Lytechinus pictus: one gene and its partners. The protein of the gene in region 1 interacts with the protein of each later gene in a pairwise test. Links are inferred from orthologs where the notes say so. Each region holds a gene or a part of one and is shown on either strand. Other genes may lie near its edges. The genes, in order: proteasome subunit alpha type-1-like, zinc finger C4H2 domain-containing protein-like and methylenetetrahydrofolate reductase (NADPH)-like.

Region 1 (11,170 bases):
ACTATTGCCCTTGATGATCTGCATTATACATGTATGTATACTATAAACCATTTATTAATACCTTTGTATTGAGTTCACTCTCATTTGGTAGTGTATCCCTAAGAGCTCTCAGTCCATGCTTAACCAGCTCTTCAAGGGTAGCTACAAAGAAGCAATAAATCAATGAAGAAAAAATAAATCAGTAATATACAACCTGCATATATGCAACTTGGGATCCCAAGCAACTTCCAACAGTTCTACACTCTTTACTCACTGTAATCAGCATCATCATACAGATCAGGGCCCCGTCTTACAAAGAGTTACGATTGATCCAATCAACCACAACTATGGAAAGCCAGCAACATCGACATCTAAAATACATGTTTGTTCAAAATATTTTCTAGATATGTATATTCATACATTCACTGTTTTCTTGTCAATTCAGTATGCTTCTCTGTATTCAAAGGACATTGTGCAAATTTCCTAAAGAAAAAATTATGACATTGATGGATTTCCATATACTTTAGATTGACTAGATCAATCGTAACTTTTTGTAAGATGGGGCCCAGAATTGTCACCACCATCATAATCATCACTATCATCTTCATCATCACCAAGTATCATCACGACAAATTAAAAAAAAGTCATCAGAATTACCATCCTCCTCTTTTTCATTATCATCAATCATTTTGTGATCATTACCCCGTTCATCATAATTTTCATCACTATCGTCATGATCATCATGATCATCATGATCACCATTGCCATCATCATCACCATTGTCCATCATTATCATCACAAACGCCATCCTCTTTTGCCTTATCATCATCATCATCTCCATCATCATAACAATCCTCCTCTGTCACCATTATAAATATTTTTCTTTGTTACTATACTCACAATTCTGGAATTCATCAAGTCTCTTTTCAAGGTAAGTTCTCGCTGACTGAGATCGAGCTCCGATGGCCATGCACTTACAATCAAAGTAGTTGGCCGATGGGCAGGTTTGGAAGATATGAGGACCCATCTCCTGAGGATCACACAAGATTCAATATTCATCACTTTGGAAAACATCAAAGAGTAATGGTTACTTTATGTATAAATCAATTAAAAAGCTAGATCCCCCACTGGTGTTTGGTAGCATGCTCAAAGTCATTGTTGTTGTGCACAGTATTGATCAACAGAAAAACTTGAAATACCAGTTGGGTGATTAGTACTCTGTTGTTTCACATCGGACTTATGTGAGGAACAGGCTATCACCATGACAACACAATACAAAACATATAAAACAGATCTGTCTTGAATGTCAGCACTTTTAAACCAATGTTTGTGCAAAGTTTCTCAAAGCATTGGGCAGAAGCTCGAAATGGTTTTCAACTGTAAACCCACTTGTTATATCCCTCATGGGACTAATATCTAAAACCTTGTACCATAGAATATTATACTTACATCATACCCAGCCACTAGAAGTCCTACACCATATGGCCTCCGTCCATACCTCTGTGTGTTAATTTGAGATTCTGTGCGAGTCTGGTCAAAGAAAATATGATATTCCAGATAGCAAAAATGTTAACCTGCTGATTACTGAATTTCTTTCATAGCTTTCATAAATTTTATACAGGGACCACCTGGTTCAGGATACAGGGATAACAGGGGGCAATATAGAAACAAAATAGACATCACTGAAGACACTGGTAACAATTATATGCACAAGGTGCGTGCCCAAGGCATACATGTAGCTCAGGAGATTAGGACCATTTCAGTGTTAACAATTCTGGGTAATTATTCTAACACCTGGGCAAAATGATATATTCATATTTTCGGGGGCAACTTTTCACAACTTACTGCCATATCTGTAACAATGGACATGAGCTTTAACATTGACTTTCCAGGGCTCCTTTTAGAGTCTCCAGGGCTCTGTTGAGTATTTTGGGGGCTAAATCGCGCTGAGCTTGGTGGAATTTTCCCCTGATATTCATGTAACTAGTCATCGATACCGGCCATTAGCACATTTTTTGTTGTAATAAATGACTGGGTCCCGTTGCATAAAGGCTACCATTATGGTAACTTGGCCATTCAGTTGTAACTTGCATAGAATCATTGATTTTGATTGGCTGCTGATCAGTGTTACCATGGTAGTTAGCATAATAGTAACTTTCATGCAATGGGTGCCCAGTCATACATGATAGATCTTAGCTTATCATTTAATCCATATCATCAGTGTATGGCAAACTTTAATGACATAGGCCCGTAGTCTGAAGTCGGGTTTAACTTAAAGTCAGGTTTGAAGTTGTGGTTTAAGTATGGATAGACAATTGTCACATAAATCACTAAAACAGTAGAGATGTCACATTTCAGCTCATTTGGCTCTCACATCATTCATAATTGTCTAGGAAGTATACATAGACGATTGTCTTCACCATCGATGAATCAGGAAAGAGCACAGTTAACATAAGAAAAATACAACTTTATAAAGATTTCGGCACTTTTGGCTTCCTATAATTTTAGCAGAGTTAGAACATGGTCTAAGTAAAACCTGACTTCAGAATACGAGCAATTATGTCCCATGGAGAAATAACACTCAAAAGATGAACATCTATTTCAAAGGATACTGTTGCCGATTTCGGAAACTAATCTTGAAACAGGTAGCGGAGTCTCATATGCATAGCGGGAATTCAGACATTCTGTTCTCATGAATTTGCTGTAAAAGGATGAGAGAGAGAGAGATAAAAAAAGTACACAGCTTCAAAATTCAACATTACACAAAAACAATTGAATAAGCATATACTGCACTTTGGTAGACATAAAATTTTTCGTCCTATCTTTTCAACTTTCTCTCAAAAGTGTCATAAAATATAGTAACCGAATTTTGTTTGAATAAGACTGCTTGTAGTACAAAAAGTAAAAAGGATAAAACAAAAAAATTGCAAAGGCCAATGAGCTGGACGACGAGGTCAGTCAATGGTACATCAATAGCCATGACCTTTAATAGATGGCCATCGATTCATATAAGCCTTGTAAAAGAGGAGTTCCAGTAAGTGGTAAGACACAGATCCTGGAGTTGCAGCAAATGATGATTTGATGATAATGTCTTTAAAGTCAAGGTTAAAGGTAAATAATGCAGTTGCAGCAACACTGATCTCATGTGAAAGTCTGTAGGTTGATTGTCATCATACCATAGTATATACAGTATCTACTTACACGTAGATCTGATTTGTGTACATAAACCTATACTGTGGTCTTGAAATCTCAGCTGAAAAGCGACCACACTGAATATATCACCAACATGAATGAGTACATGTGGGGCAGCATATCCATAATGCTTGGAAGTGGCCAAACACAAATGCCAGGCTTTATATCTTGTCCATGTCTAGGTATCTACACATTTTCTACTGACTGGCCTATATTGCTTCACTACATACTTATATACATGAATACCACTTAAATAATCATTTTGTATTCTGTTAACATTCACTTTAAAAATCGATATTACAGCTGGCATTTAAGTTTGTCCATTTGCCCATACCTTAGCATCCTGGCATCTGACGTGAGCCCAGCTATGGAGATACCGATGTGATCATCAATAGGAATAATCTTCTTCTGGTGAGAGGACAGCTCTGACGAAGCTCTCTGAAAAAGGAAAGGAAATAATCATAGTATAAATACATGTACAATGTACGTTACTGCACGATTTATATAGAAAGAAATCCAAAGAATCAGGGCTACATATCTTTTAATATTCTTTCATGGATTCACACACACACCCTCACACACACAAATTTTTCTCTTTAATATTATTCTGCTTATTTAAACCAAATTAATGTCAGGACACTCAGGGCAGGTTTCCTATTGTACAAAAACCACTACAACTTGGATGATTTGATCATAGGCTGTACCATTTGACAATTTCACACTAACCCTAACCAAACTTCTAGTCTTACATGGAGTTTCCAGGGGATATTTTTGGAAGTGAGGAACACATGGTACAAAGTATTCCCTCACACTGTATGACAGATGGCTAGTTGTCTGTGCATGTTGTAGGTGAAACCACAAGAGTGATTTTTTTTTGGTCTAAACCCCTCCAAACACACAGATATCAGCTGTCTACATACAAGGGTCAAGAACAGCGGTGACACAACATTTTCTCCTGCGACACTTGCTCTAGGCTTAAATTCATCTTAGGGTTGCAATAGGGTTTTATGTTAGGTTTAGGGTAGGGTATAGTGTTAAACCCAGGGTTGAAGTTGGTTATTCAATAGGTGTGTGCAACTTAGAGGGGAGTAATTGTCATGGAACCAGAACAGTTACCTTGAGGGCCACGAGCACAGCATGGGTCTTGGACTTGAGACCTACGGTCGCAGAGCCTTGCTTGACGGCCTCCATGGCATACTCTATTTGATGAATCCTCCCCTGGGGACTCCATACAGTCACATCGTTGTCATACTGGTTACGGAACTGAAATAATAATCATCATAGTAATAATCAATATTGTACAATGCCAAAGACACTACAGAGAAGACCGGACACTTCGGCAATTTTTTGAAACACTTGATTTCGCTCATGGAGAAGGGCATGTACAAAAAAGCATCAATTGAGTAAGTAACCATCACACATCAGCATGCGACTGTATATAAAAGATATGGGGAAAATGAGAGAGGATTTGTAAGAGGGTAAAAGGGTAGCGCATGGGAGTAATTCCACCTATTACACAGAAAACTTTAAAATATATTAATTTCTAATTTGAGAAAAAAATTGAAGATTTTTTTTTCTTAAAAGGAAAAATTGTATATTCCTCCACCCCTCCACCATTTCCCCCATGTTTTGTATACAACCCAAAATGGCGATACGCGAAGGCGGGCAAAGGTTTACTTAAACTCAAGGCTGTAGGGCACTCTTCCCAAGCGTTTCATTGCGCGCTCTATTGTGTGTCTAGTCTTCCCCTTGTAGTGTCTTTGAAAATGCCTACTTTAATAGCTTGTTGCATGCAAGCAAATACATGTACGAGGCTGCATGTCAAACATCTGTACCGTTGCACATGTAGCGTTCAAAATGTACTCTTTACATCATATGATGCAATTCATTGCGCTTGCAATCATAAAGGGGTAGGCCTACTCCAGGCTGAAAAAAAAAATGTTTTGAACAGATTAAAAAAATCAGACAAACTAAACAATGAAAAATTTATCAAAGTCGGACAAGAAATAACAAAGTTATGATATTTTTAAGATTTGCATTATTCTGTTGAAACAGTTCTAGGCATGTCCTCATGAAGAGACCTGGCTGTATTCAATGAGCAAACTGATGTCACATTCCCACTTGTTCTTTTGCATTTGATTGTATGAAATTAGGTTCATCCATTTTTTTCCTTTAAGAAGCAAAAATATTGGAATAACAACTGATTAAGTGTGCTTATTTATTGCTGCAACTATACATGTATATCCTTGGAAAGACCCTTTTGTGCAATCGGCCCCAGGCCAGGGCTATCGTCAATGACAAGTCAATGGGTCCCATATTACTGGTACGGTACCGTACCTCTCCTAATGCCCGGGGGGAGCCCGGGCAAATTCATTGAAGAAACCGCTCACTGCCACTGGCACTGCACCGGCGCCGCTACTGAAATCAAACTCAGTCACACACACTCTCTCTCTCATCACTTGTACTGGAATAATTTCAAAAGGGCATGCAATACACCATACTTTAAACTGTATAATAACTAAATAACATACCATAATGATTGATAATGTAATTGTAAGATCTTTGAGTTGAAGTTCTCAACGTTCGGGGGACGTAACATGAGCAAGCAAAATTCTCGACCGGTCGACCGATCCGATCGATTCGACCTAACGTTACTGAGTAGTTTTGAAGATCAAAGAGTAAATAATTTTCTCTAAATTTTTCGCATTTAAAATTATTTTTATAAACAACGAAATAATATTTAATATTTTAAATCGTAAAATATTTTTTTTCAAATATTTACCTCATTATTTTATTTCTTTTGGTAAAAAATTATCATTTTCATGTAGACTAACTGATAAAGATCTAAAAAAAAACAGAAAAGAAAAAAAAACATGGCGGTTGTTTTGTCTGGCAACTTTCGTGCTCTCATAATGAGCTGCACTTGCAGAATTCCTGCTCAAGCTGAGCTCGTTGGGGTGTCCAGATATACTACAGCGAATAAGAATAAAGATTCCTACGGATCGCTGGTATCAACAAGTTTACCAGATGTAGATTCAGAGATTGAAAGTGAGTCTGTTATTTTTGCCAATGTTGTGGTGTGGTCCCACCCATGTTTATTTGTGTTTGTAATTGTAGCTGTAAGGTGGAGGGTGGTTAACCTTCTTCTTCTTCTTCTTCTTCTTCTTCTTCTTCCTCCGCTTATATCGGAGATCAACAGCAAGGTGCTGCATAAAGAATGTCCATCAGCAGTTAATGATTACAGAGAGGAAAGAGATGTAATACGGCTAATATGGAGTTTATAAAGGAAAGTCAATGTAAGCGAAATAAGCACATCATTATGTTGGGAGGTGAGGTAAAGAGAGCATGGGAGTAACACCGCTCTTGTGAATGCATCTCCTTTGGTTGTATCATAGAGGGAGTAGATTTCATCTGGCAGGCGTTTACTTCTAAGCTTATTGCAGAATTCTTGTCTATGAGTGTCTAGGTGAACACATGTTGCTATAAAGTGGACAATATCTTCTGCTTCTTTCTTGCAGAGCCTGCATTCGACTATTGTGGTCTTCTTTATTTTAACAAGTCTTGTTTGCACTGGATATGTCTGGCTTAGTAGCTGTGCTCTGACAATTACTGCTTGCCTGAGAAATCTCGAGCTGCCACAGCGGGGATACAAGTGGTAGGGGTTCCGCATGTTGATGGAGGTCCAGAATGAGAGCGTTTTCTTTGCTTGGATTGCCTCCATGGTTTCAAGTATGACCACATTGTTTACTGCCATTTTTACTGTTTTCTTCCATTGGCAGTAAGGAATTGGGTCCAGTGTAAGTGACTGAAGATCTGGTAGGTTATACTTCAAAAGGATAGTTTGCCAGGCTCTGATTGTAACCGTTTGCTTGGAGAGGGCATGAAGAAAGGTGCGATATTCGAAGCGTTCGTGAGGGAGGTCAAGTAACTGTCCTATCAACTGAAGCTTCACAACGTCCACTTGCGCACTGATAGGTATTAGTCCAGTCAAAAGGTGTACCGATTCATCAGCTGCAGACTTCGGTAGGCCAAGAATCTGCTTGAAAAGTTGAAGCTGTGACTGGTTGAGTCTCTTTAACATACCCTTTGTAAAGTTAATGACCGCGGCTCCAAAGAGCATGCGGGGGATACAGTACACTCTCCATAATGTTGCGCAGTGTTGTGGTAGGAGGCCACCTGTATATGCACCAGCTCCAGTGAGAGCATAAAAGGTTTTGAGACCTTTTGCAATCATGTCCTCAGTTGGATCTCTCCTTGTGCTAGTTTTTATAATGCCAAGATGAGGATGCATTTGTGCAGTTTGCACTGGGTCCTCTCCCAGATGCCAGGCATATTGCTGTGAGGTATGTTTACTATCATTGAAGGCAATGATGCAGCTTTTGGATGGATTGATTCTGTATTTCCATTCTTTTGTATAGTTGTTTGTGACATCAAGCATAGATTGTAGTTCACTTGGTGAATTACTTAGAAGGGCTACATCATCAGCAAGGACTACAAGACCAGAATATCGACCTAGTAGATTACAGCCAAGATTCCTGCTGCGTAGACGTTTGATGAGTGCATCAATGAATGTAATGTAGAGGAGTGGAGATAAAACTCCCCCTTGCCTTACTCCTTGATAGATTGGAAAGGGCTCACTTGCTACATCATTCCAAAGGACTTGACTCTGAAGATCTTTGTACAGAGACTGGATCATATTAAGATGTACAGGATGGATGTTTGTGGCCCCTAGCTTATGGAAAAGACCCTGATGCCAAACTTTGTCAAAAGCTTTCTCAGCATCTAGGAGTGCAACAAAAGTGGGGGTTTTGTTTGCAGAATTAAGTTCAATTATGAGTTCAAGACAACATGAGGTCAGGATGCAGGAGTGATGTTTTTGGAAACCAAACTGGAGTTCATCTGGAATATTGTTTTCTTCAAGGGAGCGCTGGATCCTTGGTTTAAGGGCAAGTTCAATCAATTTGCACAAGGTAGAAGTCAGGGTTATTCCACGATAGTTTCTTGGGTCTTTCACATCTTTGCCTTTTCCTTTGTGTAAAGGAAGAACAAGTCCATTCTTCAGACTTTGAGGGGTAAAAGACGATACCAGGAAGGAGTTGAAGACTAGAAGTATAAGACGCCTTGCAGTTGCACCGAGATATTTGATGTGTTCTGGGCTGATATCATCAGGTCCACTAGCTTTCCCTTTCTTGAGGCTGGCGATGGCTACATCAAGCTCATGAGAGGTAATGAGGGCTGATTCCTGTACCATTGGGACAACCTCATTAGGTTCAAATTTATCATGAATTGTTATTTGAGAGATTTCGGCATTCAGTGTAGGTTGAGCCAAATCTGTGAAGTAGCACTTCCAACCAGCAGCTACATCACCTTTCTCGTATGTGCAGCCTTGGTACTCAAGCACTTCTGTTTGACGTTTTGTGATGTTGGTTCGTTGCCTCTTGATCAGCTGGTAGAATAGCCTTGAGTTTCCAGTTGATGCAGATTCGATGCTGGACAGGAGCCTACGGTGTTCTACGGCACGTGCCTGTCTCAATCTTTGTCTGAATACTTTCTTCAACTGGAGGTAGACATCATGCAGAGATACTCCTATGGGCTTTCCATTGTCTTTCCAGCGTTTCCATGCATGATTTGCTTCAGAATATGCTTCAGCAACTTCCGTTGTCCATTCTGCTTTACCGAGACGTTTTTGGCAAGGTTTAGTGTGAGGGAGATTTTTTGACTGCTGAACCATTGCTTGGGAGAGAGACAACAGGATTGCTTCAGCCTCTTTACCAAGAATTTCACAGTCACCTATGTTGGTAAATAGATCCATTGCTATCTCTTCCAAAGGTACTGTGTAGAGTTCCTGGAGAGTATTGTGATCAACTTGATCCCATTTTATTTTTATTCTGGAAACTTTCTCCGATTTGTGAGGGGAAGAGCTTGGCGATTTCTTTTCCTCCTTAAGAGAGGACTGAGGGGTACAAGGATCCCATGTGATGGTGACTGGAAAGTGGTCGGATGTATTCAGAGGGTCATCCTCCTTTATAGATACAACTCCAAATCGTGATAGCGCAGATGAAGGTATCAGGAATCCATCAATGTTTGACCTCTTCTTCCCATCATCTGATTGAAAGGTAAACTGTTCAGATGTACAGTGCTCCTCTGTGGCACTCAGGAAAACAACAGAGTTCATGAAAGATCTTAGATATCCTAGTGTCTTTTTATTGTTCTGATGTACTGTGTCGGCATTAAAATCTCCAGCAATCACTACAGTGGTTAGATTATTTGCCTGGTGCACATAAGTGTCTAGTAAGTGCGTGATGATTGCTAGACAGGCCTGGTACTCAGTGAGATCAGCAGATGAGGTGCCACTCGGAAGGTAGCAGTTAATTAGGAGTATTCTTTCATTCGAAGATGCAAGGTAGGCATTGGCTGCTATAAGTCTCGGTGACTGACATACTATTTCAGTGTATGATGTAATCAAACTTTTGCGGAGATACAGAGCTACGCCTCCTTTCCCTCTTCCGCCATGTACAATGTTCATATTTGACAAGTACTCAGAAGATTTAGAAAGAACATAGTGTTCTGAAGTTGGTGTATTAAGTAAATCCAAATTGTGGTCATGGAGCCAATGCTCCTGTATGCACAGTAAATCAATGTCTAATAAAATATGCTTCAGCATAAGTTCTGCGCTTCTGAACCCTCTGGTATTGAAGGTTCCTAATAAAACTGGCTTGGAGGCTGCCGAGGAAGTAGGAGGTTGAGGCTGGACTGTGTTAGATTTAAGATCTGCTGGTGGTGGCTGACAATCATTTGTAGTGATGGAGGATGATTCATTACACTTGGTATTGCCAGAAGCTGGGATGCGCTCAAGAGAAAATGGTGTGCTGATTCCAGCATTGTTAAATGTGTTGCTGTTGAGGCTCGGCCCGGAAGAAAAACCTGCTTCGGAGAGTGGGCCTTGTTTGGATCGTTGGTCATCAACAAGTTTCTTTGCTGGGATTGAACACTTGAGGCATTGGTATGTTCAGATTTTGCAGGGTGCCCGACCGTTAAGCCAGGTCGGGCACTAAGTCTAAATAAGTAATTTCATACGGTAAACTGTCATTGAAACTGCTCAAAACTTGTCTTTGACTTTGTAACATAACTTAGGTCTACTTAGTCTTACTCTTAGCTTCCAAAGAACTTGAATAGAAAGATGATGAAAAATTGTCAAAATTCAAAATTTATCTTTTCTGAGCTGAGTTTTCAGTCTTTCTAAAAATAATAAAATATTGTCAAAATAGAGTAGGCAGCTCATCAGTGATTTTGTTGTTTTCTCAACTTTTCCCATGCCATAGACATAGTCATAGAAAACCCACGTTCGGTAATCAGTAGAGGCGCACGGCCAATATGGGAGACTCTCTCCAATAGGGGAGACAATCTCCCACATCCCACATTGGAGACTTGCTTTGCAAAAGGACAAAAGAAACAACACCAACAAAAGCATGATTTTTTCCACCCAAAATTTTGTCTCACTAGGCGGTGCTGCACCATCCCGAGTTTGCTCAATCTCGAGATTTTAGCCCGATCGGCCCACTTCGCGATTAATCTTGAGTTTCAAGAAACCCCGTCTGCACCATCGCAAGAAGAGGGATTCCTGCTCGAGCGAGGCAACAAGCCCGATATTACGAGCATGCGCACTTTCGGATCTTGGAGTTTCAACGACCCGCGCTTTTGAATAACTTCCCGCGATATGCAAGCAATGTACTCCTTTCACTAGCACTTTCGCCGAATTCAACCGGTGTTATGCAACAATCCTCTCAGCTCAGCGAGTGAAGAAGTGATGTATTCTTCGTTAAATATGATGGCGGAGTAGGAGGCAACGACAGAGAGAGAGAGAGAGGGAGAGAAGGAGGAAAGAAATGCTATTTGCTCACATTTTGCTGTTGTTATTGAATATAACCATCGTCGATGAGCGCCTCCCCCTTCGGTCTGGTCTCTCCCAAAATCCATTCACTGGTGGGACACCATCGTT
Region 2 (11,106 bases), on another chromosome or scaffold:
TATAGTTGGTGGGTGATATCATCACTTCCCTCATTTGCATACCGATCACGATGTGAATATAACTGTGGAATCAAGCAAAATTCTACAATGTCATCACTCTATATCCCACACCCAGTAGGTGGTTTCAGACCGCCTCGAAGTTCGCCAGTTCCAGGTATTCTCTGATCGGGAAATTTACCCCGATCAGAAAATACCAGGTATTTTGGCGGTGTGAAAGCAAACTACGCGTAATATCCCCGAAAGAAAATACCCGATAAATAGTAGGTACTTGGCGAAATTACGTGAACTTTCGCGGGGATTTTTCCAAGGTCGTGGGTATTTTGGCGGTCTGAAAGCAAATTACGGGAACTTTTAGCCCAGCGTGTTGTTGGGTGCGGCGCCGTGCATTGGTTGCTGCTGGGCTAGTGATTTTGAATTTCGCGCCTTGCTGCTTATCAGACCATACTGCGCATGCTCGTAACTTCAGGAACTTATCCCGAAGGGTATGTTTCAGGGCGGTGTGAATGCAGGAATAATTAATGGGTATTTTTCAGCCTAAAAAAGTTCTCGTAATTTAACGGGGATTCTTGTGATCGAGGCGGTTTGAAACCACCTAATGTTGATGAAATTTTCAGGGTTATGTTATTTGATTTTTCTCTTTTCATTCATTTTTCAAACCAACTTTTTTGTTGGGGAGGACTTGTCGTTTGAAGTTTATTTTAAGTTCTGATGAATCAATCCCCTACCCACCAAAGTGCATGTTAATATTCCAATTAATTACTTGATTATATGAGTTTGTATGCCGATAACAGTTAGGATATGAATGAAAGGAAATAAACATGTGTTTCCTTGAACATACATGTACATTAAAATACTTTTAGAATGGATGCCAGATCAAAATAAAAATATCTTCATATTAATTTTTTCCATTTTGATATAAAACCTCTTCTCAATTATTGAATGGGTTGAAAATAATCTGGAGACAATCTTCGTGTTTAGCTTTTGGATTTTCCCTTTTAAAGAAAATATAAACATTGTGGAAAGAGAGCGAGAGAGAGATAGTGCTAGAGATCTTGAAATATAATATTTATGAATTTTTAAAAAGAACTATTATAATGGTTGACACAGATTGAAAGGACAATACACTTGCATTTTATTGGAATGCTACATGTATATTTGATAATTCAGATAAATGACCCTTAACAAAGAGCTTTAAACCGACTACATATTTGAGAATCAATAGCAGTTCTAAACAGGTTTGCATGTTTAACTTTTTACATTTTCAACTGGAATGATTACCCAATTTGACAATCTGTCATTGCCTTGACATACATGTACAGGTGGTCTTTATCTGGGGTAATTGGTTTAAAATGCTTAACAATAAACAAAATAAATATTGAATATTTAGCAGAATCAATAAATGGAAATATCGTGTGAAATTCATGAGCCGTATCTTTTGTCAGTATGTACATGTACTGGATGTCATGCTAGCACTTCTATACATACTTTTGCATTTTTGTACAATGATCACTGATTTGATTTTTATACAATAGTCTAGATGAAAATCGAACCAAAGTACAGATATGTCAAAGCAATATTCTTTAACAATTTTGAAAGGACTGTGGTTAATTAACATTCAATGCATAAGTATGTTACAGTACATTTATTGGGGGTGGTTGTCACTGTGTGCCCTATCTGCATATTTTGTTCTCTCTCTCTCTATTGATGTAAAAATTAATTCTTGTAGCATGTGGAAATTTCAAGATATTTCCTGCTACATGTATGTCATCATCATAAAAATCAAGTGATCAAATGCCATTTTTAAAGAATTTTTTTTTAAATCAACCAAGAGTGAGCTAGATAAGAGGAAGAAACATTCAACAAAGAAATTAACAGATTAAAAAAAATATTAAGGGCAATACACTATTGTAAGATTGGATGCAATTCATGTTATTGACCCACTTTAGTGTACCCCCTCAAAAAATATGCAAAGTGTGAATCAAAACATAAAAAATTAAATAAATATGATAAATTACCTATACAAGGCATTTTAGCAGATATTAATGTCATATTTCGCTCGCTACTTTTCAATTTGAGACAAACAGGGTTAACATTTGCCATGTTGCCCTCTCCAGGAAACATCAAATATATTGCCCTCGTCTAAATACTCGGGCCAATATGAGTCTGTTGCTGGCAACAGTCGGACCGCAATGCCGCACATACAATAAAAGGCCAGTCAATATTATATAATATGCTTAAATTACAAAATACATGTGATCAACAAGTTTCACAAATGAACTTTCTTGAAAAATCATCCATGAATTATCATGTTTCAGATCTATGCAAGTGATTACAAAATTAATGATAACAAAATATACACAATTATAATAACATGGGCTGCAAGTATGGAAGTTGAAATAAAAGCACTTTGTTTTGTGAATTAAAAGTAATTTCTTTAAGATTTACTTTACCAAAACATTTCATAGCTAACAGAATATTTTATCAAACAATGGTTCTTCTCCTTGATTTTCTTTTCACATTTGTCAGTGAACACTTTTTTTTCTTACAATAACCAGAATACAATAGGCATGGTTGCAATTCCCCAGACCAAACAAATTATATGTATAATAGATAGTGGGCATTATGTAAAAGTCTCTTTGATAACAAGAACCAATTACTCAAGTGTCGACCAAATGATGCTTGAAAAGGGACCGTAGCAAAAAAACATGCATCCAAGTCTCTTTTGCGCGAAGAACAAACATCAGCCACTAGATTAAATTCAAACTAGGAATCTTTTTATATGACAGTATTTTATTTCACAGTATTCTAGACAGCATTTTATATTGAAACCATCTCATACTTTAATTCATATTTGAAATTGAATGAACATGAATCAGAAAATATGAAAACCATGGGATGTTTTTTCTTCAAATTCTACTCTCTGTTTCCATTTGATGGGGCTGTAACATTATTCACTTTAGATTTTTTTAGAAACAACACTACCGTATGGGCACTAGTATTCAACCCGGCATAATTCAAAGATTTTGACATATTCCCCAAAATATTTAGAAATAGGGAATTTATCTTAATTTCATACCTTTGTTATTTCCAGGGTAATCTGTTGTCGGTATTTTCTTTATCAATCTGTCGACTGTATGCGCGGAGGATCGAATTATGCGGCGATGGCCTTTTGCACTGAATGGCACTAGTATTCAACCTATAGTGAGGATTGATAGCAAATTTCAAAAGGGTTTAGATTGCTAAATTAGATCTAGATCTATGGAAGTCTCTGGCTTTGATTAATTCCCTGTTTGGTCTCATCTCAAATGGTCTAGTCCATAGTCGGATGGGACAAGGGCAGATCGAGAGACAGGGCCATCTTTCATCACTAGGTTGAATACTAGTACCGACGGATTGAATACTAGTACCAAAAACCGTCGCCGTAAAATTCGATCGCCCGCGCACGCAGTTGACGGGTTGAAGAAAAAAATAACGGGAAAAGAATAACCAGCATTTGCTTTTGGAAATAAGACAGGTCTGAAATTCAGGTAAATTCCATATTTCTGTATATTTGAAGAAACTCTCCAAACGGGTTGAATACTAGTACCCTTACGGTATATGAGAACATCCTTTTTTCATTTTCTTAATTAAAAGTAATGCCCAGGTATGATGCATTTTAATCTCTACCAACTTGGTATAACGTTATAGTTTGAATAGCTCTGCATACATGTATATCCCTTAATATTGAAGGAAATTAAGCTTTTATATTAATATGTTGCAATTCAAAATGTGAGAAGAAACTAGCATATTCAATGAGAGTATTGTTGACAAAACATACACCTTTCATATACACCATCCCTTTGGGAAAAATTGTATCATTGTTCACTTTCCTTTTGAGATCACTCCAAGCTGATGAGCAATTTCATCATCAACAACAGTTATTGAAACCAACTTTGAAAAAGCAAAGAATGCCTCTTACCAAAAAAATAGATGGGGAATGATAATACGATAGCCAGTTGTTTGCAATATACAGTATTTCTTTCAGTATGTTTTTTCTTTCTTTCAAAGGTTTGGGGCAGTTAAAGGACAAGTCCACCCCAACAAAAAAAATATTTGAATAAAAAGAGAAAAATTAAACAAGCATAACATTGAAAATTTCATCAAAATCGGATGTAAAATAAGAAAGTTATGACATTTCAAAGTTTCGCTTAATTTCACAAAACAGTTGTATGCACATCCTGGTCGGTATGCAAATGAGGAGACTGATGACGTCATCCACTCACTGTTTCTTTTGTATTTTATTATATGAAATATGAAATATTCTAAATTTCTCCTCATTGTCAAGTGAAACAGCGATTAATTCCTCCCTATACATATGGAATTAGCATTGTTTAATACTATATGGTTCAGTCAAGTCGGTCCCTACAGTCAGATCTGTAAAAAATGAAATATTGTATAATTCAAACAATAAACAAACAAAAGAAATAGTGAGTGATGGACATCATCGACTGACTCATTTGCATGTCACTGAGTTGTGCACATCACTGTTTTGTGAAAAATAAGCGAAACTTTAAACTGCCATAACTTTCTTATTTTACATCCGCATTTGATGAAATTTTCAGTGTTATGCTAGTTTGATTTTTATCTATTTATTCAAATCAACATTTTGCTGGGGTGGACTTGACCTTTAAAAATATCATCTTGATGCCAAATTTCTTGATAATTCTACGCTCAGTCACAATGCTGCTGAGAGTCACTTACCTTAGAACATTTTCCAGCAAGTGGATACTCATCCTGTTTCCTCCGTTTGATAACAGTTTCGAATATCAGATAACCCCTCCTCAAAGTCGTCCTAAAGACTATACAACAGTTGTCCAAAAACTTGCAGCAATAAAAGGGGGTATATAAAGGACCATAAGAATGGCTAATAGTCACAGAATGGCTAATAGTCAAGATGTAGTCCTGTACAAAAGCAGTGCTACATTGGTCCAAAACTTGCAGAAAAATGGGTAGATAATGGAAAAAGACAATTACTAATCATAGGAGAGGGCCTCAAACGAGTCGTCCAAAACATGCAGCATCAAAGGGATAGGATATTGGAGCAAGAAAGTGGCAAGTCAGATCCACTAAGAAGCAGTGCAACAGTGGTCCAAAAAATTACAGCAACAGGGATAGCTCAGACAATGACTCTTCATGGGAAAAAAGAGATGGATGCCGTTCATAAGATCCAAGTTTTCAGACACCATCCCCCACGAGCGAGCCTCTACCTTCCTCTTGATCGAGCCGGAGCAGTGGATAAAATGAACAATCTTGGTCAATGCAATCACTAATCGACCCTACTTGAATAGAGCTCAGCTGCTGCATGCCCTGATTGTTCATGTGTTGGCTAAGTGCTGGGGTCTTTTGTGTTCGCGTGTCTTGTCTGCTAGACCATGAACATGGGAGTACAGTCTCCCAGACGCAGAAAAGGGGGAGGGGCCTGTCGGATAAGCAACAAATTTGGCTGGCTGGCTGGCAAGCCAATCCACCACCTTCCCCTTCTCTCTCTATTTGTCTCCCCCCTCTCTCTCTCTCTCTTTCACCCACCCTCCCCTCTCCATATTTTCTTCTCTCCTTTTCTTGAAATTGATTGTCTAATTTATTTTCTTTGTTTCATCGATATTTATCATTTTTTCTTTTACTCCTAGTATAAGTGTTTATAGTCACGATGCTGTTGAAAGTGACTTACCTGGGAACATTTTCCAGCTCGTGGATATTCATCCTGCCCCCTCCTTCTCTTTGTATAATAACATCAGTATTAAATGTTTATAGTCAAGAAGAGATGGTTGACGAACATTTTTCATTCAAGACCCACTTAAATTCATCAATTAAAAAAAAAATCTGTTTCATTTGAAAGAAGATATGCATTAAGCAATACATGTTTTATTTACAGGTATTTGTCTCAAAATCGTACTGTTTTTCATTTCAAAATGTTAAAAAAAAATATTGATGGTGACATTTGTCATTAAGTATTTGATATGAATAACATTTGACAAACAATGCCCTTATGGCATACTTGTAGACAATATACATGAGTACAGAATATATTATTGCCGCAATGATAAAAAAAATATTAATATAATTTGTCTTATGAAATCAAACAATCGCACTCCTATCTATCGCTTACTAATACAGATATTAAAAATGACATTAGCAACAATTTCAAGTACCCATGATACTTCCAATCTAGAATTGTCCTTAATAAAATGACAGAAGAGATAAAAGAGTGAGGGAAAGGCGAACGATGACAGTTTGATCTATCCGGGGATAATCTGATACTGACTGGGAGCCGACGGGTTAATACGGGGCAACAGGAGGCTCGCTTCCCAAATCACTGAGCAGGGAAGGATAAAATGCCCCCAATCAGGCCGTTAACACCTCCATCAATTATTCAGGCCGGAGGCGAGCTACCAACCACCGAGCATTATCTGGCAACAAATCCCTACACTCCGTCATTCTTTGGTGTCTTCCGAGCTACCTTATAGCTCTCCCCGGGTGCGTTTATCATCTCTTTTCTGCGGTAAAAAGAATCACGTTCTCAAAACGTGTTTTGAGATACTTTTTGCAGATATGATATTAAATGCAACTTAGGTGTTTTGATTGTTGCCGATTGGGTTTGAAAAGACTTTTCAGATTGCACAAATTTGTGCGAATTGTAACATTTATGTCTGAGCCTGAAATATCAATCTACAATTCTGCATGAGGGACAAACGCAAAGTTGTGTTGAAATGCAGTTGAACTTCCATCACTTCTACCCATTTCTGGTTCCAGAGTAAAAACTGACTCACAATTCAAACTAATTTGAAAAGACAAAAAAGAGAATATTTAGAGGATATGTATGTAAGATATAGAAAAGGATAGATTGATAATACATAAAGATACTCCATTTTTTAAGTAAAAATCCACCCTGCCACAATAAAAGTTGATTTGAATAAAAAGAGAAAAATCAAGCAAGCATATAACACTGATAATTTCATCAAAATCTGATGTAGAAAAAGAAAATTATTAAATTTCAAAGTTTTGTTTCATTTCACAAAAAAGTTCTATTCACATACTGGTCAGTATACAAATATGCAATTATGAAATCTCCCACTCACCATTTCTTTTGTATTTTATTATATAAAATATGTAATGCTTTAATTTCCCCCTCACTGTCATGTGAAACAAAGTTTTATTCCTCTCTGAACATGTGCAATTAACAGTGTTCGAACATTTTATGGTTCAGTCAATGAGGTCTTTATTGTTAAATCTGTAAAAACTAAAATATTGTATAATTCAAGCAATAAAAAAAGAAATAATGAGTGAGGGAAATCATCAACTCTAATTAAAATATCACTGAGTTGTGCATATAACTGATTTGTGAAATTTTGAAGAAATTTTCAGATTTTAATATGTTTGTTTAATATTTCTCTCTTGATTCAACTCAACCTTTTTCTTGCATGGGTGGACTTGACCTTTAAAGACATAATGGGTAAAATTATAAAGGGTCTTTTTTTATAAAAAATTCCATAACTATGATGTGTGTTTTACATGGATTAAAAATACCAAGGAGATATTAAAAAGCAAATCAACTTTGTGCAGATAATTTCAAATTAATATCTGTAACTGAAAACAAAAACCAAGATAATCTTTCAGTTGCATGGTGCTCGATAGTCGGTCACATTTTAGTACATGGAATAAAATGGGGAAGATTATTCCAGGGAGTTGGGAGTGATTCCATGTTTATTTTTCACTTTTATGAACACTACATCCTGATTCTGAAGTGCATTTTTGAAGCTTCATTTTACATCACATCTCAGACACAGCATGGAGGTGGACACTGTAATAAACAGGACCCAACACAGATTTATTAGAACATTAAAAATCACTGTCAACCCTTGATTTTTGAAGGGCATATCAGATAACAACAAGTCAGACATTAAAATCAAGCCATTAATTAGGTTGTCTCATCAAGGAGCTGAGCTAACAGATGAACAGGGATAAAAGGGGGATTAGCCGTTCTATGAAAGAGGGGATTGATTAATACAAGGGTTGCAGGTGTGAACAACCAATTGACTCCTACAAAGAGGGGCAAAGAGAGGGTGAAAAGAGGGTGTATAGTGGGGGGTTAACTTTAACAAAAGTCTTTTCAGGAATAAACTTGAAACATTCTGGATTTTGGGTATATGGAGGAGGGTATTCTGAGTTACATATTGTAGGCCTACATGTCTGCTAACCTGTAATTCTGTTGGGTGTAGTATGCACTGAAGTTTAGAAGTTGACAAAGACTATAGGCAGATGACATTTCTATTTAATGATCTTGAAGGAGAGTTGTGAAACTTGATTTGAAATTGCATTTTCTAAGGAAGATATAATGAAAATAATGAAGAATTCCCAAATTCAAATGCAACAGTCATTACTCAATTCATGAAAGATGCATCTTTTCATATCAGGATTGATGAAACAATTATTGAACAATGCTAGATATGTACCCTTTTCTAATCACTTTTATAATCATGGCGAGATGCATACCCCTTTTAAATATTTTTAATTACAGCTTAAGAAATAAGAACTACCATAATCAATTAATAATTTGAGGAATGTTAATTAATTTTATACCACATATCAACTTATCAGTTGACTATGCATTTAGCTGTAAAAATTTGACTAAGGTATTGAAGTGAAATAAAACAAACATCATCAGTGATTATGTAAGATTTAAAATATCACTACAAAAGGGCTTCATGAATATTAACCCATAGACATACTATGTACAGTGCCTTCTTTTGGAAACATTATTCATGTATTGAATCGTCTCCTTCAGCAGACATTTTGCAGTTCATCTTTAAGCTGAATGCTACCATTCTAAGTGCAGCATGTGTGGCTGTTCTTGAATAATAATAAAGTATAGTGCACATATCCACCTTGCTCAAGGCGCTCCTATATTACCCAGCTAGGCTAGTCTACCAATTACGGTGCTTACAACTTTTCGAGGAATTACTTCCTGCCAGAATTCATTTATCTCACCTGGGTTGAGTGCAGCACAATGTGGGTAAATTTCTTGCTGAAGGAAAACATGCCATGGCTGGGAATCGAACCCACGTCCCTCACATTGAAAGATTAAAGTCTTAACCAATAGACCACAATGCGCCCCCCCCCCCTCCCGATAGAATAAAAGCCATCGAACTTGAGCTTTAAAAACATTACACACTCCAAACTGGCAATGCTATGAAAATAACAAACTCACTATAAAAATACAAATTGGCATCTTTACGGTTAACTAATATTCTTTTATCGTTAAATTTGATGATGTCATATCAATATGAAATATTTATTCAAATCATGAAAATGTTTTTTTTTTATTCAATGATTTTTGCCATATTTGAGGAGCAAATAAGATTGATTTTGACTTTGGGAAAGCTTAGTAGCTCTGCTGGATAAAGCGCTCTTGTTCTTCACCAATCCAGACAGATGCAATGAGCATTCATGCATAGGTTGAATGAGACTCAATGAAGCAAGCTCCTCTCCCTGAGCGGCACTCTCTCAAAGTAAACACCGACGGTTTCACACACAAAAAAATAACAACGCAAAACCTGGGGAAAATTGAGGATTTCAAACTAAATTAAAATCTGATTGCTGTTCTCTTTGTTACAGTTAGTCAAAACAGTGATTATGTTTTATGTCAGCATATAAAGCACTCCCTTTGGAGTGGGTATACTGCTGATACCCATATTGACATCCGCCGGTTTCTGGTCCTGTCTGCAATCTCGCCCCCTCTCTTTCTCCCCTTCTCTTTCTACTGTGGGAATTCAACAAGTGTTGTGTGGACCTTTTGCATGTAGTGTTTTCTTTTCCCCCTGCAACTTGCTGTACTGTAAGTTGGCTGGTTAAATTACAAAATAATCAAAAGCTCATATTAAAGTCTCTCATAAGTTTTGGTAATTCCCTAGGGTTGGTCATGACTCATAGTTTCAGTTAATTACTTCATTAGGCGGTGCTGCACCAGCCCGAGTTTGCTCAATCTCGAGATTTTAGCCCGATCGGCCCTCTTCGCGATTAGTCTCGAGATTCAAGAAACCCTGTCTCCACCATCGAAAGAAGAGCGATTCCTGCTCGAGCGAGGCATCGATGCATTATGGTCTGACGCCGTGAATAATTAATCCCAAGTGCGTCTGCACCTACGAATAAGCGCGATAATTCATAAAATAGCGCGCAATTTTGCAAATAATCCCAAGTTGACTTGGGATTGCAATCTCAAGATTAATTCTACGAACTAGCGTGATAATTGCACCTCCATTACAAACAATCTCGAGGTTGTTCAGATCGGGATAATTTGCCGGATCAGAAATAGCGCGCTAATTTGAAAACTCGGGCTGGTGCAGACAGCTCTACTGAATGGGTCTGTCTCCAGCTAAAAGGATATGAAATAAAAAGTTCAAATACATGTAGTGGATGTATTTTGCAATTTACGGAATGGGCTGAAAATTTTTGGATAAAAATAAATGTTGATAGCTTTGAGATATTTAGAAGTTAAGTGTTCAAACTCAAAGGGGTCTTTAAAAAGAAAAAAAAAGAATAAAACATTACCAAGAGATAGTGCTAAATATTTTCAAAAGTGAAATTCATAATTTAATCAGGAATCAAGCATGAATGGTCACTGCCCTTTCATAAAATTGACATTTTAAACGATACACTAAGTACTGTAATTCACATTATTGAATCATTCACCTCTAAACAGGGTACAAGTGAATATTGATCTGAAATATCCCCTACAGAAATTTAAGCATGCTGCATGCTACTAACTAGCATGCGACTAGCAGGGCGCTCGCTTAATAAGCGAGTGCATGCTAGCGAACAGATCCTGCTCACTAAAAGATCGCTTAAATATTACTCTGCATGCATATTACACGCTTATTAAGCTAGCCGCATGCTAGCTACTAGCATGCCGCAAGCTTGAAAATTTCTGTGAGGGATAGCATCTAATCACTTATAATCAGGAATTATTTCCTTGTCTAATCATCCCTCCTTGAAGATAAATATAGTTTTGAGATCCCAAAAGAAGGCACTACACATACCAAAATGAGGTAACATCAATGAAACCATTTAAAC
Region 3 (11,423 bases), on another chromosome or scaffold:
ATTGGGTTGGTGTTGGAGTTGGGTCAATTTTTACACGAGTATAACACCAAACTCTATGTTTAGCTGTCAATATTGTGATCTGAATTATTTGTTATAACTCAGAATAGGTTTTGGAGATAGTAAAAGCAATCTAAAATGTGCTTCCAACATCTAACTTGAAATCACCCATTGGTCTTGGGGTAAAGATGTACAAGAAACATTTTTTGTATGTGAAGGAAATTGTGTTGCCATGGTAATGGTTTGAATTACTTTATTGATTTTCAACCAATATACATTGGTCTTGAGGTTAAGATGTGCAGGACACATTTTCCATGTGTTGAAAACCATGTTGACATGGTAACAATGAGTAAAATAAATTAGGCAAATATCTTGGTCTTGGGTAATATTTGGCAAGACATTTTTTCAGATGTGTGAAACTGTTGCCATGGTTACAGCGTATGGCGAGGGTATTATTCACCGTCAGAGATAGTTCTAGTTAAACTTAATATTCAGCCATGGAATCAGCTGAAAATTTGAGGTTGAATTTTCTATTCTAATATCCATTAAAAAAAAAAAAATTGCAATAAGTATTTCCAAGCAGTAGTTTTAACTAAAAAATAATGCAGTTTTACTTTTACTATTAAAAAAAAAATAAAACTTTGAATGGTAGCAGTAGATAAATCCAAGGACCATTACACCTTTGTAATATAGGAATGTTGCTTGAAACTCAAATGTGACACATTAGTGACGCTGTCGGCTATTGTAGTAAAATATTGGATGGACATTAATTAGCTAATGCTGGTAGTGAGAAAATGTTTTATGTAACTGTATAAAGGTTAAGCTTTTCTTCATATTCATTTACATGCATTAAAGTGGAAATGAAAGAATCAAAGTTGTAAAGAAACAAAATAAAAGGGTTCACACCGAAATGGTACTTTTAGAGTATTGTTCTGATGTGTTTTGTAAATGTTTATGACTTGTGTCAATTACACCTTAATTGTGATGAAATCACACGTGATATATCCCATTATTCAGTATCACCAGAAGTACAGGCGATATTGAGGGATCCAAATCTCTCCTTTTTTTTAAGGAAATGTATTTTTCATGATCATTTATGGTGTGGTGGGTGTGAGGCATCTGTGACAGCTAGAGCAAAGTTTGGGAGAGTTAAGTTTAGGGAATGTGGAGAGCTGCTATGTGGGAAAAGAATTCCTTTGAAGATGAAAGGAATGGTGTATAAGAGTTGTGTAAGATCGGTGATGTTATATGGGAATGAGACATGTGTTTGAACAAAAATAAGATGGGGATCTTAAGGAGGGCAAGGAGAGAGCAATGGTGAGAGTGATGTGGGATGAAGTTGATGGACAGGAAGAAGACTGAGGACTTGATGAAGATGTTAGGGTTGGAAGAAGCGAAGGACCAGTTGGCAAAGGCGAACGTCGTGCGTTGGTATGGGGACGTGCTGAGGAGGGATGATGGGCATGTGTAGAGAAGGGATCTTGAGTCAGCGGCGTAGCAGGGGGGGGGGGGGAGAGCCAAAAATTTTGTGTAATGAGGCGATTATTTTGAAAAGGCCAGATATTGCGTATCGGGCATAATTTATCTTTAAAAAAAAGTGAGCGAAGCGAAGAGAATAATATTTTTCACTCTTCTCTCTTTAGATTCCTTTTTTTTTGGTGGTCTGTATACGCCACTGTGAACAGGATTCTGCGGCAGTAGCGTGAAGTGTAAAAAAAAAACGAGGGGCGCAGTATAGCACATGAGCTAAAAAGCTGCTTTATATAAGTCCCGAACGAAGCCAGCGAGAAAAAAAATCACCTTTTCATGATAATACTACTAATAATAATAATGGGTATTTAGAGGCGCTAAAAACAAAACGTACCATAGCGCGTACAATGTAGGAATAACAATTCAACATTTGCAATAATTACTACAATATTCAACATAAAAAGGGAAATTAATTATTGAGGAAAAATGTATGTCTTAAGGGAAGATTTGAAGCCAAGAACACTGGAAGCATTTCTTATTGAAAGAGGGATAGTATTCCAAGTCTTGGCAGCTGCTACAGCAAACCGTTTTTCGGCAGAGGAGAGTTTTGACAAGGGAATGCAAAGTCTGCATGTGTCAGTGATTGAACGAAGATTACGAGAGGGTGTGTATAATTTGATGGTATTATTAAGATATTCAGGTGCTAGATGATTTAGAGTTTTGTATACATATAAACAGACTTACTACTAATAATACTTCCCTTATATAGCGCATAAAACTGAAAGTTTCTCTACGCGCTTTACAATAAATGAAACAAAATTCACATACTGCACACAAAGAAGAATCTAACTTTGAGCTATTTTTTGGCATTATATTCAGTAAATAAAATCATATTCTACACTTTTCCTTTGCTTTTCTTTCCTCCTTTCTTTTTGTTCTTGTTTGTAGAACTTTTTGGGATCATAGCCCAACCCTTCCATACGCAGTGCTGTGCGGTTGGGGTCCGGAATTTTTTATATCAAAGCCATTTCCTCGCAGATTGCCGCTATTTTAATCAAATCGCGGGCATGTACAGGATATAGCTTTTACAAAACACATTTATTCAACCCAGTTGCGTAATGAACCAAATATTTTGAGGGGCAAAACATAGTAATGTGGGAAAAATCTGTAAAAAGTCGCAAAGCGATCGAGCTGGAAAAAAAAATGCATTTTGAAATTAAATTCGAATTATGTAATTGATTTTTCCATTAGATTCAGCAACTAACAAATTTCATTGTTTCCATTCATTTCATTATACCTTGTCTCCTTTAATTTATTATATTTCTCTTGGGTGTGGAACCAAGACCCCCCCCCCCCCGCGCATGTGCAGTAATTGAACGTGATTGTGAACGGGAAGCGTTATAGAGCAATTTGAGGTTCAGTATAAATGAAGAGCCCCTACAGCTGTGTGGGGTCTGGGGCAAAGCCCCGGTAGCTTATTTACATAAAATTTAGCTAGCTTATATATAGCACAATGTTGTATGCAGTCCATCTTTCTTCCTGCTCTTTAATTTCAATCATCGGAAGCCCGGTCGTGTTATTTTTTTTTCTTGTCCCTTTTCTTTGTTTTCCAAAAATTAGCTTTTGACTAATTGCATTTTACCTTCGTTTCGCGCTATTGTTTGCCATTTTGTCATCTTTTAATTTATTTCCCACCGTGCTATTGCATTACATAATTATGCCTGTTTTGGAATGATTTGTTCTTTCTCAAATGTTCTTCTTTCGTTCATTTTCCCGATTTCCTTCCTTTTCCGTTAAAAAGGGTTTTTTTCTTCGTTTTCTTTTCACTTTTTCCTTTCCTTTTCCCCTCATTCCCCTTTCCCTTTCTTTCTCCCTCCTTTTTTTTCCTTTCCCGTTTTTCTTTTATTCCTGGTTAAATCCGCCAGGGGGCAACTCCCCCCCCCCCGCCTGTTACGTCATGAATATCCATTAGGTGGACTGATGATGTCACATCTCCACTTGTTCTTTTGTAATTTATTATATGAAATTAGGTTTATTCAAATTTTTTCCTCCAAGAACTAGAAAATTTTGAGTGACAACTGATTTAGTGCATTAGATATTTATTGCTGCAACTTATTTCATTATAAGGGAGACATATTATTCACACAAGTATGAAATAAATGAAAAAAATATGGTTTTGTGTGATAACATATGAAAACGGAAAATGGGGATGTGACATCATCAGCCCAACTAATGAATATTCATGATGACTGTTTTCACAAAATATTGCTTAACTTTAAACTTCAATAACTTTATTATTTCTTATCCGATTTTGATGAAATTTTCTGCATTTTGCTCAGTGAATTCCACTCTATGTATTAAGATATAAATATTTTCAGCCCGGACCATCCCTTTAATTCAGATTCCTTAACAAAAATATTGAAAAAAAAGGAATAAAAAAAAACAAATAAAAAAAATACATGACAAATTAAAAATAGGCCTACAATAAACTACATAAGATATTAATCATGTTTTGAAATTCTTTTTTTTTAATGTTTTCACAAAAAATTAGCACTCTACAAGCAATAATATGAGTTAACAGCAATATATATTCATAAACTAATTTGCCTCATTTATTTTGAAATTATGAAGTTTTAACTCGTTGAAAATCTGTAGTTTTATAAAAACCATAGGCCTATATGGGGGTACAAATTTTCGCCAGTCTGGCAAACTTACACTAATCACGGTGTGAAAAAGCACAGTTAAAGATATCAATGCATACTGCGGACTGAAAGTAGTATAAATTTTCACGTAGGGCCTACAAAACAAAATGATGAAAATTTCATCAAAATCTGATAATAATAAATAGCAAAGTTTTGGCGCATGTGCCACTGCCAGGTCTATGTATACATGATATATCGAGTCATTGTTTCTCCTATTCCCTCACCCCCATCGAGCCCTTCGTCAAAAGCTGTATGGATCCGCCCCTGAATAAAAATTCACTAAAAGTCTAAAGGCGGACGAAAATCCCCCCCCCCCCATTGGTAACGACATTGCCAGAGCCGCGCATGCGCGCGCTGCCGAGGTTGGACGTCTGTCCAAATAAATATTACACGTATCGTCAATAGAACCAAATCCGCCGAGGAACCAAATCTGCAAACATCAAGCCGCGTTAAACCCGGTTAAAAACGATATCGGCCATTAAGAACGATATCTGCCGGCGGATACGGTATCCGCCGGTGGAACCAAATCCGCCGCTACACCGGCCAAGGACATTTGTTGTTGTTGTCTGTTGATACCGCAGATCGAAAAAGCTAGTCTAAATTTGTTCACACAGAGACTTGAGTTACCGTACCGTACCTAAGGCTAAGGCTAAGTTAGATCTCAGACTCAGTTCTCTAAAATTTTCGTGCAATTTTCTGACTTTGTGTTCTGCGCGGCGCAGTGTTGCAAGTTTCCTCCCTAAAAATGCATAATGGTGAAAACAATAAACAAATTGGCCAACAAACTTCACAATATAAACCAAAGTAGGCTTAGCTTTACGAAAGGGTCTATAAAAATTGAAGAGTAGAAGATACGTGCCTGTACAACAAAGCAGAACAAGACTACGATATCTCGTTTACATACAGCAGGTGCTTCGACGTGCGTTCGGCGAAGGTTGAGAAGCGAAAGAGACCCAAAGAACATCGCAGCGTAATTTTATGCCGTTCGCAATTCGGCATATATATATCAGAGTGCAGTTCGTTGAGCGCCCTCTAACGTTACAGCGAAACCACCGTTCAATGCAGCTGTATCGATATCCGAATGCGTCTATCACACCAGAATCAAAGGTTGATTGGAATATCACATCACGAATTGAACTCATGTTCATTTCTTCCACCCCTTCCACCTACCTACAAAGTCAAGAGCATGATGCGCATTCAGCGCTGAGCTTGGATAGTTGGGGGTAAAATTAATATAGGCATGCATTTTAAACGTCTTTTTTAAATTGTAATAATTGTATTGTATTTATTTTCCATTCATAAAAACATGCAAAATACAAACAAAATACATCAGATATAATTACAAAATAAAATAAATACATAGGAATGGCTGGATTGCCCATTCAGAGTGGAAATTATTACCACTCTGTTCTGCCTAGGGGTCCAGAACATAATAAAATAGATCAGATTGTATTATAAACATCATTAACAACAGAAAAGAACATTGTTAAACACAATATAAAGTAATGAAAACTAGACAATAGACATAAAACAAAATTTAAAGTTATGAGTTCAAGCCATAGAGATGTATACTGGTTCAAGCTACAAGCAAATACACCCCACCCCCTCCCGGCAAAACAACGTGTTGCTCAGAGATCAATGTAATTTGAAATCTTAGAGCTCAAATAAGTAATAAATGTAGTTAAGTCTTTGATAAAATAATTTCATATCTAAAGGTAAGTCATTATATAGGCGTGAACCTCTATATATAAACATTCTACGGCAATTTTCTGTATTTGGTTTGGGCATAATCACATTACCTACGGTTCTTAAATTATATGAGTAATTACAATATTTAAATGAATCTGCTAAGTATAATGGAGCCAGGCCGTTCAATGATTTGAACACCATTGTATATATATATGGATATTTCTTCGTGATTGTAATGACCTCCATTCGAGTCGTTGGTGTATTTCTCTATTTGATATTCGATTTTGCGGTTTAATGAACATTCAAAATGATACGGCCAGCTCTGTTCTGAATTTTTTGAAGACGTTTAGTATATTTCTTATTTGTGGATTCGTACACAATATCAGCATAATCAAATAAGGGAAGTATAACTGAACTATACAATGATTTTAGATTACTTTCAGTTACGAAATGTCTTAGACGTGCTAAATATTTGACAAGCTTATTAGTTTTCTTACATAGTTCTTCAATATGAGTATCCCACTTCAACTTTGGATCGAGATACATGCCTAAATATTTAACAGAGTTAGATTGCTTAATAGTTTTATCAGATATTTCAACATTTATATTTGCACATTTTGATAACATAATATTAGTTCGAAAAAGCATAGAATTCGTTTTATCAACATTACGGCTTAGTTTGTTGTGGCACAGCCAACCATATATGTTATGTAGATCAATATTTATGTAGTATTCTATCTCACTGATATTTTTCCAGAAAAATAAATAACTGTGTCGTCTGCATACAGATGCAGTTTACAATATTTTACATGTTTATTGATATCGTTTATGTATAACGTAAAGAGAATTGGCCCTAGGGTTGAACCCTGTGGAATCCCATACTCTATACTTGAGACGTTTGATGTAATATTCTCGATACATGTACATATATTCCGGTAATCCGGTTGCATAAATAACTCTCAAACCAGTGCAAAGCATCTTCTGAAACACCAATCTTTGCTAGCTTCTTCACAAGTATTTTAACATCCACAGTGTCGAAGGCTTTTTTCAGGTCGATGAATACTGCCCCGTATAACATGTATAAAGACCCTCGTCCATTGCCTTGTGACTTTCAAAAGAGAAGTCATTGTTGAGTGTTTCTTTCTGAATCCGGACGGACGTACTGATCCACACAGATCAGTATTTCATTTTCTTTCATGTACAATTTAAGTTGGTTGGATACAAGTCTTTCCATAATTTTTGAAATATAAAATGGAGATTGGTCTATAGTTACAAGGTTCATTTTTATCACCTGATTTGTAAATTGGAATAACTTTTGCTATCTTGTATTTATGTGGGAACGTACTATCTAGTAGTGATTTATTGATCAAATAAGTAAGTGATGGAAGCACTGGCGTACCTATAGGATTTTCCAGGGGGGGGGGGGCAAAAAGGTCTTTCAAGCTCGTCAGGGGGGGGGGGGGCAGGGATACATGCATGGGTGGTGGCTTTGCATGGGTGGTGGCTCGTCAGGGGGGCAGACTGCCCCTCTGCCCCCCCCCCGTAGGTACGCTAGTGGATGGAAGTATGGCTGGTGCAGACATTTTTAGTATTTGAGCAGTAATACCATCTATACCAGAAGAAGGTTTATATTTTTAATAATTTAATCTCTTTTGAAACATCCTCTTCTGTTACTGCTGTAAAATAAAAAGATGAATCCAGGTTACATTGCTCCGGCACTATTCCAGAACAAATAGGAATCTTGGATGCTAAATCAGCCCCGATATTTGCAAAATAATTATTAAAATTCTCACTTTGCTCAAATATTTGTTCTTTGTCAGTTTTAATCACAGAATTTGATTTCTTAGAAGGTAATAATGATTTCATAACAGTCCATATATTTCCAGCATTTACTTTTAGTTTTGTTATTTGATCATTATAATATTTTTTCTTTTCTTTCCTAATTTGGCAAGTGATTTTATTCCTGATCTTTCTATATTCTATCATTTTAATTTCATCTTTACTTTTTAAGGCCCTTTTCTTCAATTTCTCCCTTTCTCGAATCAATTTAAGTATTTCTGAGTTCATCCAGGGCGATTTTTTACTCTGAATTCTTCTACTTCTGATAGGCGTACAATAGTCAACAACTGACATTAAAAGTTCTTCCCATTTGATAAATGCTTCATTTATATTATCATAATTAAGTATCTCGTGCCAAGACTGGTTATTTAATCTTTCCATGTACGCTTCTAGATCAATACCAGATAGTTTTCTGAAGTTAATCATTCGAGAAGCGTCTTCATGTTTTGATTTCTATATCATGTAACTCATTGAGTGGTCACTGATACCAATGTGAATAACACCATATTTATTTATATTTTCAAGTGAATTAGTAATCATATGATCTATGAGAGTCATTGAATTGCATGTGACCCTTGTGTAGTCGGTTCTATTAATTTGATCTAAAGAATATAAGTTATGAATTTCTTGTAAACGTTCAGTGTCAGTCGATAATGGAGACTTTAAGATGTCACAGTTGGTATCACCCATTATGACAATATACTTGTTAAAACGGTCAAGATATGATAAATAGTTTTCATATTGCTGGAATATATCAAGATGAGAGTTTGGTGGTCGATACCAGGTACTAAAAATAATTGGGTTTGAAAACTTTGGACGTATCATTAACGAAATTATTTCTAATGAGTTCTCTACTTTATAATCAATTTCTTCAAAAGATAACGAATTTTGGATATAAACAGCTACTCCACCTCCGTGTCGATTTCTATCTCTACGGATAAGGAGATAATTGTCAATATTTAATTCACTATTGAATATTGATTCATCTAAAAACGTTTCATTCAGTGCTATATAGTACATGTATTTTGTTACATTCTAATAATAACTTTATTTAATCAATGTTCCGAAGGAGGCTACGAATATTTAAGTGTACAAATCTAAGACCTGTACTTTGTAAGCAATCAAATTGCAACGGGTTTCCTATTTCTGATAAGCAAGAAGTGTTGACATTCACATTACTTTTAGTGTGAGTGGTACATGAAATGTTATCAAATTCACCAGTTAAAAAAGGTAAGTAATTGAAAAGACAATTGGTACATTGCCAGTCTAAAAACAATTGAGTATATAGGATCATCATATAAATCATTACTTATTTTAACACATTTTGTGTAAACCCATTTTTTACAGACAGTACATTGTAAAGCTCTTTGAGTATTTTTTACACTTTTAAGGCACTGACGCAAGGAAATTGTTTCACCATTAGCTAAAAACTACATAAAAGTAGAACAAAATGTTAAAACACTATTCAATATAAAAATAATACAGCCGTAAAGTTAATACAAGAGTTCTAGTTGTAGATAACGAAGGATTACATCAGGTCCATGAAAATTAATGATTAATATGTAATCAACCCTGCATTTATTAAAATCTTCATCAGTAATATCAGTCCTGTTTAATCAGGGATACATCAAGAGATTATATATTCATATAGTGTCCAAACCACTCTCAGCCCTGATCAAACGTTTGACAGTTTTTCCTCCGCTTGCTGGAAGTAAGGCTATTATTCTGCCATCCGAAGACCAGGCAGATATGACTTTCGTAGTTGGGGTGCGTTTATCCGCCACTTTTTTACCCTAGAATCATGATCTGAATCATGATTCAAATCATGATTCTGCAGAATCACGATTGCGTTTAGTCGAAATTGAATATAATCATGATTAGAATCACAAACATGAAACACGAAAAAAGGGGCGTTTGGAAAGACGTTTCTGCAGAATCACGTACGAAAATGTTCGAATAAACGATATCGTGATTACAATCATGATTCTATGACCTCACTGTTGTGTCGGGCTACTTTCGGTTTGACTCTTGCCAAGCTCAAGGCGCTCTAATATGCTCATTGTATGTACATGATTATGTACTATAAAGCATGCATTTCTTGTCATGTTCAAGTTCTGTGTTGGTCATCGCATCGTCCACTACTTTTAATTTTTTGGTCATGTCTTCAACTTCAAGTTCTAGTAAATGAATAACTGGACAGACAATGATCTCAGTTGTTGTTGAGTATACAGTATCAATATTAAATTGGATCTACGCTGAAATTCACTTCCGAACATCATTTTGGATAAACTAACAAGATGAATAGAAGCATACCCTTATAAAAAAAAAACCATGGTTTTACAACCGTAATCATGGTATAACCATGGTTAGGGGCGGTTTTACAATGGATCGATGGTAGTCCATGGTTTTACATTCATAACCAAGGTAAATGTGTGGCGGAAGTGTGGTAATACCATTGTTAAAATACCATAGTTATAATAACATGATAAAAATGTCATTTTATGACGATTTTAAAACCATGGTTATAAAAACCATCATTATACCACAGTTTTAAGAAAGTTAAAATCAATAGTTATAAAACCATGACAAAATCATCTTTCTACTTTGGTGAAAAAACCATAGTAATTTAACCATGGTTGTAACCATGGTTTCACAGTAGTATAAAAACAATGGTTAGGAAACCTTGGTTTAACTCCCGTTTTACCAAGGTTGAAAACGACGGTTATACACCATGATTTTAACCATGGTTTTAAGGTAGTTTGAAAATGATGGTTATATAACCATGGTTTTAACCGTGGTTTAATGAAAGTGTAAAAACAGTGGTTACAAAACCATGGTTAAATTTCTGTTTTCCCATGGTTGAAAACGACGGTTATACACCATGATTTTAACCATGGTTTTATGATAGTTTGAAAATGATGGTTATATAACCATGGTTTTAACCGTGGTTTAATGAAAGTGTAAAAAAACAGTGGTTACAATACCATGGTTAAATTTCCGTTTTACCATGGTTGAAAACGACGGTTATACACCATAATTTTAACCATGGTTTTATGATAGTTTGAAAATGATGGTTATATAACCATGGTTTTAATCGTGGTTTAATGAAAGTGTAAAAACAGTGGTTACAAAACCATGGTTAAACATTCGTCTTAGCAAGGTTGAAAACGAGGGTTATAAACCATGCTTTTAACCATGGTTTTAAGATAGTTTGAAAATGATGGTTATATAACCAAACATGGTTTTAACCGTGGTTTAATGAAAGTGTAAAAACATTGGTTACAAGACCATGGTTAAACATTCGTCTTAGCAAGGTTGAAAACGACGGTTATAAACCATGATTTTAACCATGGTTTTAAGATAGTTTGAAAACGATGGTTATATAACCATGGTTTTAACCGTGGTTTAATGAAAGTGTAAAAACAGTGGTTACAAGACCATGGTTAAATTTCCGTTTTACCAAGGTTGTAAACGACGGTTATACACCATGATTTTAACCATGGTTTTATGATAGTTTGAAAATGATGGTTATATAACCATGGTTTTAATCGTGGTTTAATGAAAGTGTAAAAACAGTGGTTACAAAACCATGGTTAAACATTCGTCTTAGCAAGGTTGAAAACGACGGTTATAAACCATGATTTTAACCATGGTTTTAAGATAGTTTGAAAATGATGGTTATATAACCATGGTTTTAATCGTGGTTTAATGAAAGTGTAAAAACAG

What was found.
Region 2: the proteins of proteasome subunit alpha type-1-like (region 1) and zinc finger C4H2 domain-containing protein-like interact in a two-hybrid assay, tested with the Caenorhabditis elegans proteins (3 studies listed by BioGRID). The link is inferred for Lytechinus pictus from reciprocal best matches to the Caenorhabditis elegans genes pas-6 and vab-23.
Region 3: the proteins of proteasome subunit alpha type-1-like (region 1) and methylenetetrahydrofolate reductase (NADPH)-like interact in a two-hybrid assay, tested with the Caenorhabditis elegans proteins (3 studies listed by BioGRID). The link is inferred for Lytechinus pictus from reciprocal best matches to the Caenorhabditis elegans genes pas-6 and mthf-1.

What each region holds. Positions count from the first base shown.
Region 1 is NC_087263.1:7,349,129-7,360,298, reverse strand, and holds the start of proteasome subunit alpha type-1-like, read right to left. Parts: upstream 5,832-11,170; 5' UTR 5,706-5,831; coding exon 5,703-5,705; intron 4,435-5,702; coding exon 4,288-4,434; intron 3,610-4,287; coding exon 3,506-3,609; intron 2,681-3,505; coding exon 2,592-2,680; intron 1,500-2,591; coding exon 1,429-1,499; intron 1,010-1,428; coding exon 880-1,009; intron 142-879; coding exon 62-141; intron 1-61. Other genes in the region: small ribosomal subunit protein mS35-like, read left to right, coding at 6,045-6,219. UniProt on the Caenorhabditis elegans protein: The proteasome is a multicatalytic proteinase complex which is characterized by its ability to cleave peptides with Arg, Phe, Tyr, Leu, and Glu adjacent to the leaving group at neutral or slightly basic pH.
Region 2 is NC_087248.1:18,904,012-18,915,117, reverse strand, and holds the start of zinc finger C4H2 domain-containing protein-like, read right to left. Parts: upstream 5,400-11,106; 5' UTR 4,773-5,399; coding exon 4,741-4,772; intron 1-4,740.
Region 3 is NC_087258.1:5,053,818-5,065,240, forward strand, and holds the start of methylenetetrahydrofolate reductase (NADPH)-like, read right to left. Parts: upstream 5,183-11,423; 5' UTR 5,029-5,182; intron 1-5,028.